2 linked regions of the Stegostoma tigrinum genome follow. The protein of the gene in region 2 interacts with the protein of the main gene of each other region in a biochemical or structural test. Links are inferred from orthologs where the notes say so. Each region holds a gene or a part of one and is shown on either strand. Other genes may lie near its edges.

The links. The genes of interacting proteins can lie anywhere in the genome.
Region 1: the proteins of flt4 (region 2) and vegfd form a complex in vitro, tested with the Homo sapiens proteins (2 studies listed by BioGRID). The link is inferred for Stegostoma tigrinum from reciprocal best matches to the Homo sapiens genes FLT4 and VEGFD.

The regions. Positions count from the first base shown.
Region 1 is NC_081365.1:76,200,268-76,207,635, forward strand, and holds the start of vegfd (vascular endothelial growth factor D), read right to left. Parts: upstream 3,013-7,368; 5' UTR 2,982-3,012; coding exon 2,856-2,981; intron 1-2,855. UniProt on the Homo sapiens protein: Growth factor active in angiogenesis, lymphangiogenesis and endothelial cell growth, stimulating their proliferation and migration and also has effects on the permeability of blood vessels.
Region 2 is NC_081366.1:12,011,408-12,018,441, forward strand, and holds the start of flt4 (vascular endothelial growth factor receptor 3), read right to left. Parts: upstream 3,220-7,034; 5' UTR 3,040-3,219; coding exon 2,982-3,039; intron 1-2,981. UniProt on the Homo sapiens protein: Tyrosine-protein kinase that acts as a cell-surface receptor for VEGFC and VEGFD, and plays an essential role in adult lymphangiogenesis and in the development of the vascular network and the cardiovascular system during embryonic development.

The DNA.
Region 1 (7,368 bases), on a different chromosome or scaffold from region 2:
TGGACTGTAAGACCTTCTTTAAATACATAAAACGGAACAGATAGAGAATGGTGAATATAGGCCACTTAGCAAAGGAGGTTGCGGAAATAATAATGGGGAACAAGGAATGGGAGAGAGGTGTTGAATAAATACTCTGCATCAGTCTTCATGGTAGAAGAGATGGATAGCGTTCCAAAATTACAAAATAATTGACGGATAAAACGAAGAGAAGATGCAAATACAATAATCGTCACTAGAGAAAAAAAATCTGGCGAAAATAATGGAACTAAAGATCAATACAAAGATATTAAAGGAAGGAACTGCAGAGATAATGGATGCACTGGTAGTAATCTTCACGGAATCCTTAGAGTTGGGAAAAGTCACAGAGGATTGGGAAGCTCCTTATTTAAAAGGTGAAGGAAGATTGAAAAAAAAGTAACAAAAGGCCAGGTAGTATAACATCCGCCATTGGGAAAATGTTAGAATCTATCATGAAGGATGTAAGGGCAGAGAATTTAGGAAAATGCATGATCAAGCAGTGTCAGCATTGGCTTCACAAAGCGGGAGTCATGCTTGTTTTGCTGAATCTATACAAGGCATAGTTAGACCTTAGCTGGAATACTGCAAAGTGTTTTATCACCACCCCACCCCCGCCGATCTAGGGGGAAGATATGTTGACATTGGAGCCAGTCCAAAAAAGAATCACTGAATTCATCCATGGGGAGGCGGTGGCCTAGTGGTATTATCACTAGACTGTTAATCCAGAGACCGAGATAATGTTCTGGGGACCTGGGTTTGAATCCTGCCCTGGCAGATGGTGGAATTTGAATTCAATAAAAATCTAGATTTAAGAGTCTAATGATGACCATGAGTCCATTGCTGTGGGGGGAGAAGCCCCTCTGGCTCACCAATGTTCTTTAGGGAAGGAAACTGCTGGCCTACATGCAATTCCAGACCCACAGCACTGTCCTTGACTCTGAACTGCCCTCTGGGGAATTAGGGATGGGCAATAAATGCTGCCTGGCCAGTGATGCCCTCATCCTGTGAATGAGTAAAGGAATCCTAGCTTTGAAAGGACTGCCTGCCTTTTGAAGAGAGGTTGAACAGGTCAAGCCTGTACACAATGGAGTTTAGGAGAATGAGAAGGTGGTCTTATTGATACATACAACGATTCTTAGGGAGCTTAGGTAGGTGTGGAGAGGTTGTTTCAACTTGTGGGAGATCCTAGGACCACTCTGCACAATCTCAGAATAAGGATTCGTCTATTTAAGACAGAGAGGAGGAGGAATTTCTTCTCTCAAATGTTTTATAAACGTGTGAAATTCTTTTTGTGCAGAGCGCTGTTGAAGTATATTCAAGGCCGAGTTTTTTTTTAATCAGGAAGAGATCAAATGTTTATGGGGAAAAAGCAGGAAAGTGGAGCTGAGGATTATCAGATCAGCCATGATTCCATTGAGTGACACTGCATGTGAGGTCTGTTCTTATGCCAGACAGTCACAGAATGGACCCTTCGGTCCAACTTATCCATGCAGACCAGATATTCTAAATTAATCCTGTCCCACTTGCCAGCATTTGGCCCATATCCCTGTAAACGCTGAGATAGCAAGAACTGCAGACGCTTGAGTCAGAGATAACACAGTGTGGAGCTGGAAATGAAAAAGGGTCTGACCCGAAACATCAGCTTTCCTGCACCTCTGATGCTGCCTGGCCTGCTGTGTTTCTCCAGCTCCACACTGTGTTATCCCTCTTAAACCCTTCCTATTCATATACCCATCTGGATGCCTTTCATATATGGTGATCGTACCAGCCTCCATCACTTCCTTTGGCAGCTTATTCCATAAAAGCACCACCCTCTGTGTGAAAAAGTGGCCCCTCAGGTCGTTTTATAACAAGGTGTAGAGCTGGATGAACACAGCAGGCCAAGCAGCATCATAGGAGCAGGAAGGCTGACATTTTGGGCCTAGACCCTTCTTTCTGATGAAGGGTCTAGGCCTGAAACGTCAGCCTTCCTGCTCCTATGATGCTGCTTGTCCTGCTGTGTTCATCCAGCTCTACACCTTGTTATCTCGGATTCTCCAGCATCTGGAGTTCCTATTATCTCTGACAAAATTTTAACCCCTTGGATCCCTTTTAAGTCTTTCTCCTCACAACTTAAACCTATGCCCTCTAGTTTTGGACTTCCTCACCCTGGCGAAAATGATCTTGGCTATTTACCCTACCCATGCCCCTCATGATTTTGAAAACCTCTATAAGGTCGCCCCTCAGTCTCCAACACTTCAGGGAAAACAGCCCCTGCCTATTCAGCCTCTCCCTGTAGCTCAAACCCTCCAATCTCGGCAACATCCTCGTAAATCTCTTCTGAACTCCTCCAAGTTTCACAACATACTTCAAATAGCAGGGTGACCAGAATTGAGGGCAGCATTCCAAAAGTGGCCTAACCAATGTCCTGCACAGCTGCAACGTGGCCTCCCAACTCCCATATACTCAATGCATTGACCAACAAATGCCTTCTTCGCTACCATGATCTTATGGGAGATGGGACCAAGTCCCAACTTGACAGCTGGTAGAATTTAAATTCTATTCATTAAGTCGTCATTTGAAAGCTCAACTCAGTAAAGGTGACCAATGACACAACTACCGATTGTGATATAAACCCGTCAGGTTCACTCATACCCTTTGCTGAAGGAAATCTGCTGTCCTTACTTGGTCTGGCCTACATGTGACTCAAGCCCACAGCAATGTGATTGACTCTTACCAGTCCGCAAAATTACCAAAGGCACTGCATTTAAGGGCAGTTACGGGGTGGGTAATGAACACTGGTCTTGTTAGTGACACGCACATCCTATAAAAGTATAAAACCATTAAAATAAGAATACCTCATTTTTAACGGCACTGAGTAACAGCACTGATCTGGGCTTGATGGACTGAATGGCCTCCTCCTGTGACTTTTTAAAAAAACACTCTGTGAACTCAGATACAACTCCACAACATGCAAAACACATGAGTTCCCAGAGGAGTCCAGCAGCAAGTCATATAAATCTGCTGCTGACTTCCTTATATATTCGGACAGGAATGCGTGCGATGCAGCGCATGAAGTGTGAGAAATTTTCAATCAGGGTCGTTGACAAATATTTGTTCAGAATGAGATTGGCGACAGGAATTGGTGCAGCGACAGAAGTTCACCTACCAGTCTGGAGTCACGTTCATCGTAAACACCCTGCAAAAGATGGAGAAGTGACAAAATGATGACATGCACACAGACACGGGACGGCAGCTTCATTCTGACACCTTTGATCTAAAGAGTTAATTGTCACTGCGGTGATCTCTATTTCATCAGACTGGGAGAACCTTACAGCGACGGATACAAACAGCTCAGCATTACATTGCTTCACCAGTATGCGAGTTCTTCGAGTCTAATTATTGAAACTGTCTCACAATTTTCAAGCAAAGCATTGTGATCTGCAGCAGATTCGTTACATATTCCAGGCGAAAGTTGTGTCAGGATCCATGGAACGGAAAGGTTGGGATTCAAATGACAAAACTGAGATTGCTATCCAGTGCAGACAATAGAGCCAGGTTCCAGGAAAAGGATCCACAGAACATTGTGCATTCCAGCATCAATCATGTGAAATCCTCAGATTCAGCTCAGACACCGAAAACAAAGCAAGAAAGAAGTGATTACTTCACTGGCGCTAAAATCAACTTTCTCCTTTGTAATCTTCAGCAAAGAAGTGACGGAACTTTCCAGCTACGTTCACCATCCTTCACTTTGAAAGCATGGAATGGGAGCACATCTTCTAAAAGATCCCGGAGTTGTCGATCGCACAGAGCTACACACACACTTTGTCTCAAATATTGTGACGCATCAGACCCCCTCAGAAACTGCAGAAGCATATGGTTTAAATGGGATCCAGACTTCAGTCCGAGCCCGCACTGCTGGCTGCCCTACTGCACTCACAGCATGACAAAACACCAAAGCCACACACCCCCTCCCCACTGACCCACACATTACCCACTGACACACACATCACCCACTGACACCCATCACCCACTGGCCCACACATTACCCACTGACACACACATCACCCACTGACACCCATCACCCACTGGCCCACACATTACCCACACACACACATCACCCACTGACCCACACATTACCCACTGACCCACACATTACCCACTGACACACACATTACCCACTGACACACACAGTACCCACCTAAACACACATTACCCACTGACACACACATCACCCACTGACACACACATTACCCTCACACTCACACACAGTACCCACTGGCACACACAGTACCCACTGACCCACACATTACCCACTGACCCACACATTAACCACTGGCCCACACATTACCCACTGACCCACACATCACCCACTGACCCACATAGCACCCACTGACCAACACATTACCCACTGGCCCACACATTACCCAAACTCTCACACCCCATACCCACTGCCACACGTTACTCACTGACCCACACATTACCCACTGACCCACACAGCACCTACTGACCCACGCATTACCCACACACTCACACCCCATACCCACTGACCGACATATTACCCACTGACCCACACATTACCCACTAACACACACATTACCCACTGACACACACATTACCAACACGCTCACACCCCATATCCACTGACTGACACATTGCCCACACACTCACACACCTTGCCCAATGACCTACACTTTGTCCACTGAACCACACATTAAACACACACTCACAACCCATATCCACTGACCCACCCATTACCCACTGGACCACAGATGTGTATACAAATTCATACCCACTGACCGACACATTACCAACTGACCCACACATTACCCACATACTCACACCATTCCCACTGCCCCACACATTTCCCATTGCCCCACACATTACCAACACACTCACACCATTCCCACTGCCCCACACATTTCCCACTGCCCCACACATTACCCACACACTCACACACTGTACCCACTGACCCACACATTACCCAATGACCAACACATTTCCCACTGACCCACACATTACCCACTGCCCCACACATTACCCACTGACCCACACATTACCCACTGACCTACACATTTCCCACTGACCCACACATTACCCATTGACCCACATATTACCCATGCATCCACACAGCATTCCCACTGATCCACACATTTCCCACTGACCTACACATTACCCACACACTCACACACTGTACCCACTGACCCACACATTACCCAATGACCAACACATTTCCCACTGACCCACACATTACCCACTGCCCCACACATTACCCACTGACCCACACATTACCCACTGACCTACACATTTCCCACTGACCCACACATTACCCATTGACCCACATATTACCCATGCACCCACACAGCATTCCCACTGATCCACACATTTCCCACTGACCTACACATTACCCACACACTCACAGTCCGTACACATAGACCCCCACATTACCCACACACACACAACATTCCCACTGACTTACGCATTACCCCACACTCACACATTATACACATAGACCCATACATTACCCACACACTCACACCCCATACACACTGACCCACACATTACTCACTGACCCACGCGTTACATACTGACTCACACATTACCCCACACTCACACCCTATACGGACTGATCCACACGTTACCCATGCTCTAACACCCCATACCCACTGACCCTCACATTACTCTGCCCCACACATTACTCACTGACCCACACCTCATCCACTGTTGCACACATTACCCACTTACCCACACATTACCCACACTCACCATCCCCCAGCACACACATTACCGACACACTCACACACCATTCCCCTGACCCAAACATAATCAACACACACACACCATCCCCCGACCCATACATTACCCGCGCACTCACACCCCATACACACTGACCCGCACATCACCGACTGACCCACACATTACACACTGACTCACATATTACCCCACACTCAGGCCCTATACCCACTGATCCACACGTTACCCACACTCTAACACCCCATACCCTCTGACCCTCACATTACTCACTGCCCCACACATTACCCAGTGACCCACACCTTATCCACTGTTGCACACATTACCCACTGACCCACACATTACCCACACTCACACACCCCATACCCACTGTCCAACACATCTTACACACAGTCACACCCCATACCCACAGACCCACACATTTCCCGCTGACCCACGCATTACCCATACACTCACACCCCATACCCACTGACCCAGACATTACCAATACTAACCCCCCATACCTGCTGACCCACTCATTACTCACTGACCCACACATTACCCACACAATCACACCCCATACCCACTGATCCACACATTACCCACTGACCCACACATTACCCACACAATCACACCCCATACCCACTGACCAACACATTACCCACTGACACACACATTACCCACTGACCCACACATCGCCCACTGACCAACTCATTACCCACTGGCCCACACTTTACTGACACATTCACACCCCATACACACTGACCCACTCATTACCCACTGACACAAACATTACCCACAATCTTCCACCCAATACCCACTGAACCACACAATATGCACTGACCTACACGTCACCCACTGACCCGCACATTACCCACACACTCACACCCCATGCCCACTGACCGACTCATTACCCACTGACACTCACAGCACCTACTGACCCACGCATTACCCACACACTCACACCCCATACCCACTGACCCACACATTACCCATTGACACACACATTATCCACTGACCCACACATCACCCACTGACCAACTCATTACCCACTGGCCCACACTTTACTGACACATTCACACCCCATACACACTGACCCACACATTACCCACACTCTCACACCCCATACCCACTGATCCGCACATTACCCATTGACACACACATTATCCACTGACCCACACATCACCCACTGACCAACTCATTACCCACTGGCCCACACTTTACTGACACATTCACACCCCATACACACTGACCCACACATTACCCACACTCTCACACCCCATACCCACTGATCCGCACATTACCCACTGACACACACATTACCCACTGACCCACACATTACCCACTATCTTCCACCCAATACCCACTGAACCACACATTACGCACTGACGCAGGCATTACCGACTGACGCAGACATTATCCACTGACCCACGCATTACCCACATTCACACACCATCCCCCAGCCCACACCTTACCAACGCGCTCACACACCATTCCCCTGACCCAAGCATGATCAACACACTCACACACCATCCCCCTGACCCACACCTTACCAACGCGCTCACACACCATTCCCCTGACCCAAGCATGATCAACACACTCACACACCATCCCCCTGACCCACACATTACCCACACACTC
Region 2 (7,034 bases):
TGGCTGCTAGAGTAGATCTGCAGCAGGTGGTGAGTGAATCAATTCGAGGTCAAATCAAGAGATAACAAGGTGTAGAGCTGGATGAACACAGCAGGCCAAGCAGCATCAGAGGAGCAGGAGAGCTGATGTTTTGGGTCTAAACCCTTCTTCAGAAAAATGAAGAAATGAATTTTTCTGAAGAAGGGTCTGGACCAGAAACGTCAGCTTTCCTGCTCCTCTGACGCTGCTTAGTCTGTTCCATTCATCCAACTCTACACCTTGTTATCTCAGATTGTCCAGCATCTGCAGTTCCTCCTATCTCTGAGGTCAAAACAAGATCCTTTTGAATGGTGGAGCAGGCCTGAGTGGCCCACCTGTGATTCTAATGCGAATGTTTGATAGCATTTGAGAAATTGCGGGGGGAGTTCTGATGATTGCATTGGAACATGCTGTGTTAAATGGGATGAATTTAGAACAGATCTAGCAACTCAGTGCTGGCCATCCATGAGGTACTCCAGGCCATTAACAGCAGCAGAATTCTACTCAACCATAATCTGCAACTGTCTACCCACTTCCACCATTTCCATCAGGGCAGGAGATCAACCCTGGTTCAGTGAATTGGTGCAAGAGGTCATACCAGGAGCGTCACCAGGTTTATTTAAAAATGGGCAGTCAATACAGCAGCACTTGCACGCTAAATAGGAGAAGAGCAACTGATAGGCAAGACTAAATAAAAGCCAAAAGAACTGCGGACGCTGTAAATCAGGAACTAAAACAAAGTTGCTTGAAAAGCTCAGCAGGTCGGGCATCTGTGGAGGAGAAAACAGAGTTAATGTTTCAGGTCACTGGACTCGAAACGTTAACTCTGTCATTTTTCCTTCACAGGTGACAGACAAGACTAAGTGTTTCCACAACCAAAGGTTCAGATCATATATCTGCTGTCCTGCCACATCCAGTCCTGAATGGTGGTGGACTGTTAAACAATTGACAGAATGAGCTGTCTCCAGAAATATTGCTATTCCCAAAAATAGGCAGCCCAGTGCATCGCTGCAAAAGACAAAAACAGAAATTGCTGGAGAAACTCCGCAGGTCAGGCAGCATCTGTGGGAAGAAAGCAGACTCAACGTTTTGGGTCAGTGACTCTTCACTTTGAACCTCCCTGCCTCAGAAGGTGGTGGATGCAGGGTCATTTTAAAGTCAGATTTTTGTTATGCAGGACAGCCCAGGGTTCCCAGGAGAGAAATCTGAACATGGAATCTGAAATGTAAACCAATTAGCCATGATCTATTTGGATGGCAGAGCAGATCAGAGGGGCTGAATGGTCCACTTCTACTCAAGTTTGGTATGTTCATATCTTTGTATATAGATATATCGGAACATCACCACTTGCAAGTTCCCTTCCAAGCCACTCACTCTCCTAATACGTCACTGTTCCTTCAATGTTCCTGGGTCAAGATTCTGGAATTCTCTCCCTAAAGACATTGTGGGTAAGCCCACAGCACATGCACTGCAGCGGTTTGAGAAGGCAGCTCACCCCCACCTTCTCAAGGGCAGCTAGGGACAGGCAATAAATGCTGGGCCCAGCCAGTGACACCCACATCCTGGGAATTATTGAAATAATATAGTATGCTCAAAATCAAAGGGAAGAGATGCAGATATCTGGAGCGCAATGGGAAGAGAGTCCTCACCGTGTGACTATACTAATCCCACAGTTTTAATTCAGAACAAAGCAAGCTCCAGGCTAATACAGAAAGCAGGTAATCTGAGCTCAGCTGGAACAGAATGATCCCAACTTCAAATGGCTCAACCTTCTCACTCTTTCCAAGGAACACTCAATAAGAGTTTGATGGTCTGAACCTTTACTGGAGAGGCCAGGGGGCTGGGGAGAGGAAAGTGGTTTAGGGAGGAGGGGGTGGACAAGGAGGGGGAGATCAGAGAAGTACGATGGTGTATTCATTGCCTAGTGATGTGGAATTGGAATTTCAATCCAGTTTCATTTCCAATCCCCAGCATATCTGGTTCATCAATATCTTGAAAACTTCGTCCAATTCACATGGAGTTCCCAGTATCCTTAGCTCATTACACTCACACCGTGTCGACTTGGAAAGCAAAAATCGTCAATTCACTCCAACTCAATATAACCCGATAGTGGTGATTGAAATATTGTTTTCATACAATTTAAATGACAGTCTTTGGAGATAATTTACGGAAGATGGTGACTGTTTAAGACCCTGTAATTGCTGGTGACCCGGGGTTATGTGCAGACGGGAGCAAAGCCCATCTTCAATGTTGGAACAGTTTACCTGCGAGCTAGGAGTTCCTGAGCTTTCCCATCAGTAAACTGCAGTCAAATATGGAAAGAACTTCAAACACGAGAGGACAAAACATACTGAAAAATGAACGCTTAGCTCAAGTTCCCCTGCTAGCAGACTTTTCAGGACAGGGAGCAGACTGGAGTTGATACAAAGCTGAAGCTTGCTCTCAATCAGTCCCAATCTCTTTTCGGTTTCACACGGTTTTCTTGGGCACAAACCCCCAGGTCTATTCTGTCCCGTGTCATCAGCTGCGAGTTACCCCGGTCTCTTTTATATGACGGAACAAATCAATGCAACAAAATAACGTGTCTCAAGACGAAGAAGGTTTCTTTGCAAATGGGGAAATCTACAATAAAACATCCCCAAGAGCAAGCTACAACATAGATTCCGTCCTACCTGCTACAGCGCAGCTAAACGCTAAACACAAGAGGCTCCACACTGATCCTTGCAGCATTTCGTAAATTCTGAGTTTGTGAACACTCCCCTATCAGCCTTCAGGTATTACTCAGAAGGACAGCCACAACTTTTCAAAGTCCAAATCTACAGAGGTTTCCCACACACAAAAAAAGAGCAATTTACAATCCAACTCGGAGGTGCAACTTCATTTCAAACATCTCCACAGTTCGCCTGCCTCAACAACACTCAAACAATCCGCAGCTCGAACCTTCAGCAAACACTGACTCCTACCTGATTTACACACGGCTACAAACCAAATCCAGACAGAAAAGGTAAAAGCTTTCTTCATTTCTAGATGTCCAATCCTGGAGTGTTTGAAGTCTCCGATCAAAGAAATGAAAAATATTAAATTCCTCTTCTCTGCCTCTCTCTCGCAGACACACGTGTAACTCAGAGCCCGTGGGTCAGGTACAAGCTGAGATTTAGTTCCGAGCAGCTCCGGGGACGAGCAGCCGTGGAAACCACAAGGAAATTGTTTGAAGGAAATGTGTGCAACGATTAACATCAAGTGAGATACGTTTCCTCTTTGCAACCCTTTCGCCACTTCCACCAACCCGCAGGAAAACAAAAGTATTTTTCTCTCTCCCTTCCTCCCCTCCCTCGTTTTAATCTGAACAGATTCTCCAGATTCCCTGATCTCCAACAAGAGTTGAACTTCTGCACAGTTTTTTTGGTGAAAATTTCCAGACGTCTAGCGCCTTCACCTATCGAGTACGATTCACAAATCGCAAACGTATTCATCTTTAAAATCCCTTTATATTTGAGACCGCATTAAGACAAAACAGTATTTAACCAGATTCGGGTAGGATTCTAATTATTTGTTATAATATATCCCTAACAACGAAGAATTTAAATTTAAATACACCAGCCTGCATAAACCGAGTTCTTCTTGTACTTCCAGGCTATTTTCCCCTTAAACTCCTTAGGTTTAAATTTAGACTAAATATTTCCTATGTAAACCTGTCATGCTGTAATTATGGCCTTCCACCACTGATGGCGCTGTAACCCTGATATTGTTGATCTTTATCTTCAGACCCCAAAGTTCACTGGCTGGAGTCACAGAGGCATACAACAGGGAAACAGACCCTCAGTCCGAATCGTGCATGCTGACAAGATATCCTAATCTCGTCCCATTTTCGAGCATTTGGCCCATATCCCTCTTAACCCTTCCTATTCGTGTACCTATCCAGATGCCTTTGAAATGTTGTAATTGTACCAGCCTCCACCACTTCCTCTGGCAGCTCTTTCCATACATGCATCATCCTCTGCGTGGAAAAGTTGCCCCTTAGGTCCATTTTTAATTCTTCCCCTCTCATCTTAAACCTATGCCCCTCTAGTTTTGGACTCTCCCACCCCAGGGAAAAAACCTTGTCTATTTACTCTATCCATGCCACTCATGGTTTTATAAACCTCTATAAGATCACCCATCAGCCTTCAACATTCCAGGGAAAAAAGCCCCAGCCTATTCAGCCTTTCCCTGTAGCTCAAACTCTCCAACCCTGGCAACACCCTTGTAAATCTTTTCTGCATTCTTTCAAGTTTAACAACGTCTTTGCTGTAATCGGGAGATCGGAGTTGAGTGCAGTATTCCAAAAGTGGCCTAACCAGTGTCCGGTACAGCTATAATGTAACATACCAATTCCTACACTCAGTGCACTGACCAACAAAGACTAGTGTACAGAAAAACCTTCTCTGCCCATCTTGTCTACCTGCGACTCTAACTTCAAGGAATTGTCAACCTACACCCCAAGGTCCCTTTGTTCAGTAATACTCCCCAGCTCTCTACAATTAAGTGTACCAGTTCTTGTCTACTTCATTAGTTGCTAATATTTTTAATGTAAATAATATAAAATCAATTATATACTAAAAAGTGAATTTATGACTTTAAAATAGGGATTGAATTATAACGAAACATCCTGGACCTTATCTCCTGCCTGTTATCCCCACTTCACCAATAAGTAGTAGTAGAAATATTAAAACTAATGATATGCATTGTAATGGAAATATGTTATTCAAAATATTAATTTATAATATAATTGACCGGGCATGGTCACTTGGTCAGAAGAAGCTGCAAGGTTAGCATGAAGGAGATTTCACCTGAGCGAGACAGAGACAGAAGTGAGTATCTGGGAATTTGGGTACAAGTTGGAATTCAGGGCAGACCGGAGTGGGGGGGATGCGGGAAAGAGGGGAAGGAGACGTGTTTGAATTAAGGTTTACTGTAAGGAATAAAGTCTTCAGAGAAAGGGATGACCGAGAAAGGAAATAAGGTGGAGATCAAGGGGCTTATGTGTACTTAAACCAACAGCAGTGTGACATCCTGAAGCCGGGAAAGCAGCTGATTTTTAGTTTTTCTCATCTTTAAAGTGAAAGTTGGTTATTTAGTTTAAATCCTGAGTGTTTTACCCTTCTTTTCCTGAACAATAGCTTCTTATGTTTTCAGAGGCTAGTACTGATTCTAACGATAACAGAGGTTTTCAGAGTTATGGGATGGCAACTCGGCACAACATTGAGGGCTGAAGGGCCTGTTCTGCGCTGTATTGTTCTATGTTCTAAGTCAGATGGGACAGGCAGATTGGAGATCCTGCAGTATGTGTGAAGTCAGGGACATACCATGCTTCCCAGATGATCCCAGAAAGTGTCTTCAGCTGCACATGCTTGAGGTCCCGCTTTTGGAATTCTAGCAGTATCTTGGGTCACTGCTGTACATCCATGCAGCAAAGGACAACATGCGTAGCACATATGGGGAGGTAGTCACAGATTAGAGCTTTTACAAGAAAGACGTTCAGATTGAATTCACATGACCCAGACTGTGGCAGGGAAAGATATTAAAATTGAACACGGTCGGAGATAACATTCCTCAAAAGCAATATCCTTTGACCTGTGATAAGAGGAACTGCAGATGCTGGAGAATCCAAGATAACAAAGCGTGAAGCTGGATGAACACAGCAGGCCAAGCAGCATCTCAGGAGCACAAAAGCTGACGTTTCAGGCCTAGACCCTTCATCAGAGGGCTCTCTCAGCTTTTGTGCTCCTGAGATGCTGCTTGGCCTGCTGTGTTCATCCAGCTCCACACTTTGTTATCCTTTGACCTGTCTTGGTTTGAAGTCTCTCTCATTAAAGTTTGAGAGTTGAAAGTGCACTGGAAGACCATATCACAACAAGTGGACAGTTATAGAGTCAGAGAGACATACAGGATGGAAACAGACCCCTGTCCATGCCAACCAGATATCTTATATAAATCTTGTCCCACTTGCCAGCATTAGGCCAATATCCCTCTAAACTCTTCCTATTCATGTATCATCCAGGTGTCTTTTAAATGTTGCAATTGTACCAGCCTCCACCACTTCCTCTGGGAGCTCATTCCCAGCGTGTACCACCCTCTGCATTTTAATGTTGTCCCTTAGGTCCCTTTTGAATCTTTCCCTCTCATCTTAAACCTATGCTGTTTAGTTTTGGACTCCCTCACCCCAGAGAAAAGACCTTGTCTATTTTCCTGAACCATGCCCCTCATGATTTTGTAAATTTCTATAAGGTCACCGTTCAGCCAACATTCAGTCTTCTGCTGCCTCACCTGAGGCTATTGATGATACACATATCTGAGGCACCTAGCTGTCAGTTCCCTAGCTTCACACAGAGTTCTCGGGTAGACCTGATCAGGTCCTGGAGATTTATCCACTCTTATGCATTTTAAGACATCAAGCTCCTCCTCCTCTGTATTTTGGATATTTTTCAAGATGTTGCTATTTATTTCCCCATGTTCTCTGTCTTCCATATCCTTCTCCAGAGCAAACACTGATGCAAAATACTTGTTTGGTGTCTCCCCCATCTCCTATGGTTCCACAAATAAGTGGGCTTGCTGATTTTTAAGTTGCCCTATTCTGTCCTAGTTACCCTTTTGTCCCTAATATATTTGTGGTTTGGATTCTGCTTAACCCTATTTGCCAAAGCTAACATGTCCCCTTGCTGCCCTCTTGACTTCCCTCCTAAGTATATTCCTACTGCTTTTATATTCTTCTCAGGATTCACTTGATCTCTGCTATTTATACATGACATATGCTTCCTTCTTATTCTTGTCCAAAACCTCAATTTCTCACCCAGCATTCACCGCACCTACCAGTCTTGCCCTTCACCCTAACAGGAACATACTGTTTCTGGACTCTCGTTAACTTATTTTTGAAGGCTTCCCATTTTCCAGCCATTCTCATTATCTGCAAACATCCACACCACCCCCCCCATCAACTTTTGAAAGTTCTTGCCTCTTACTATCAAAATTGGCCCTCT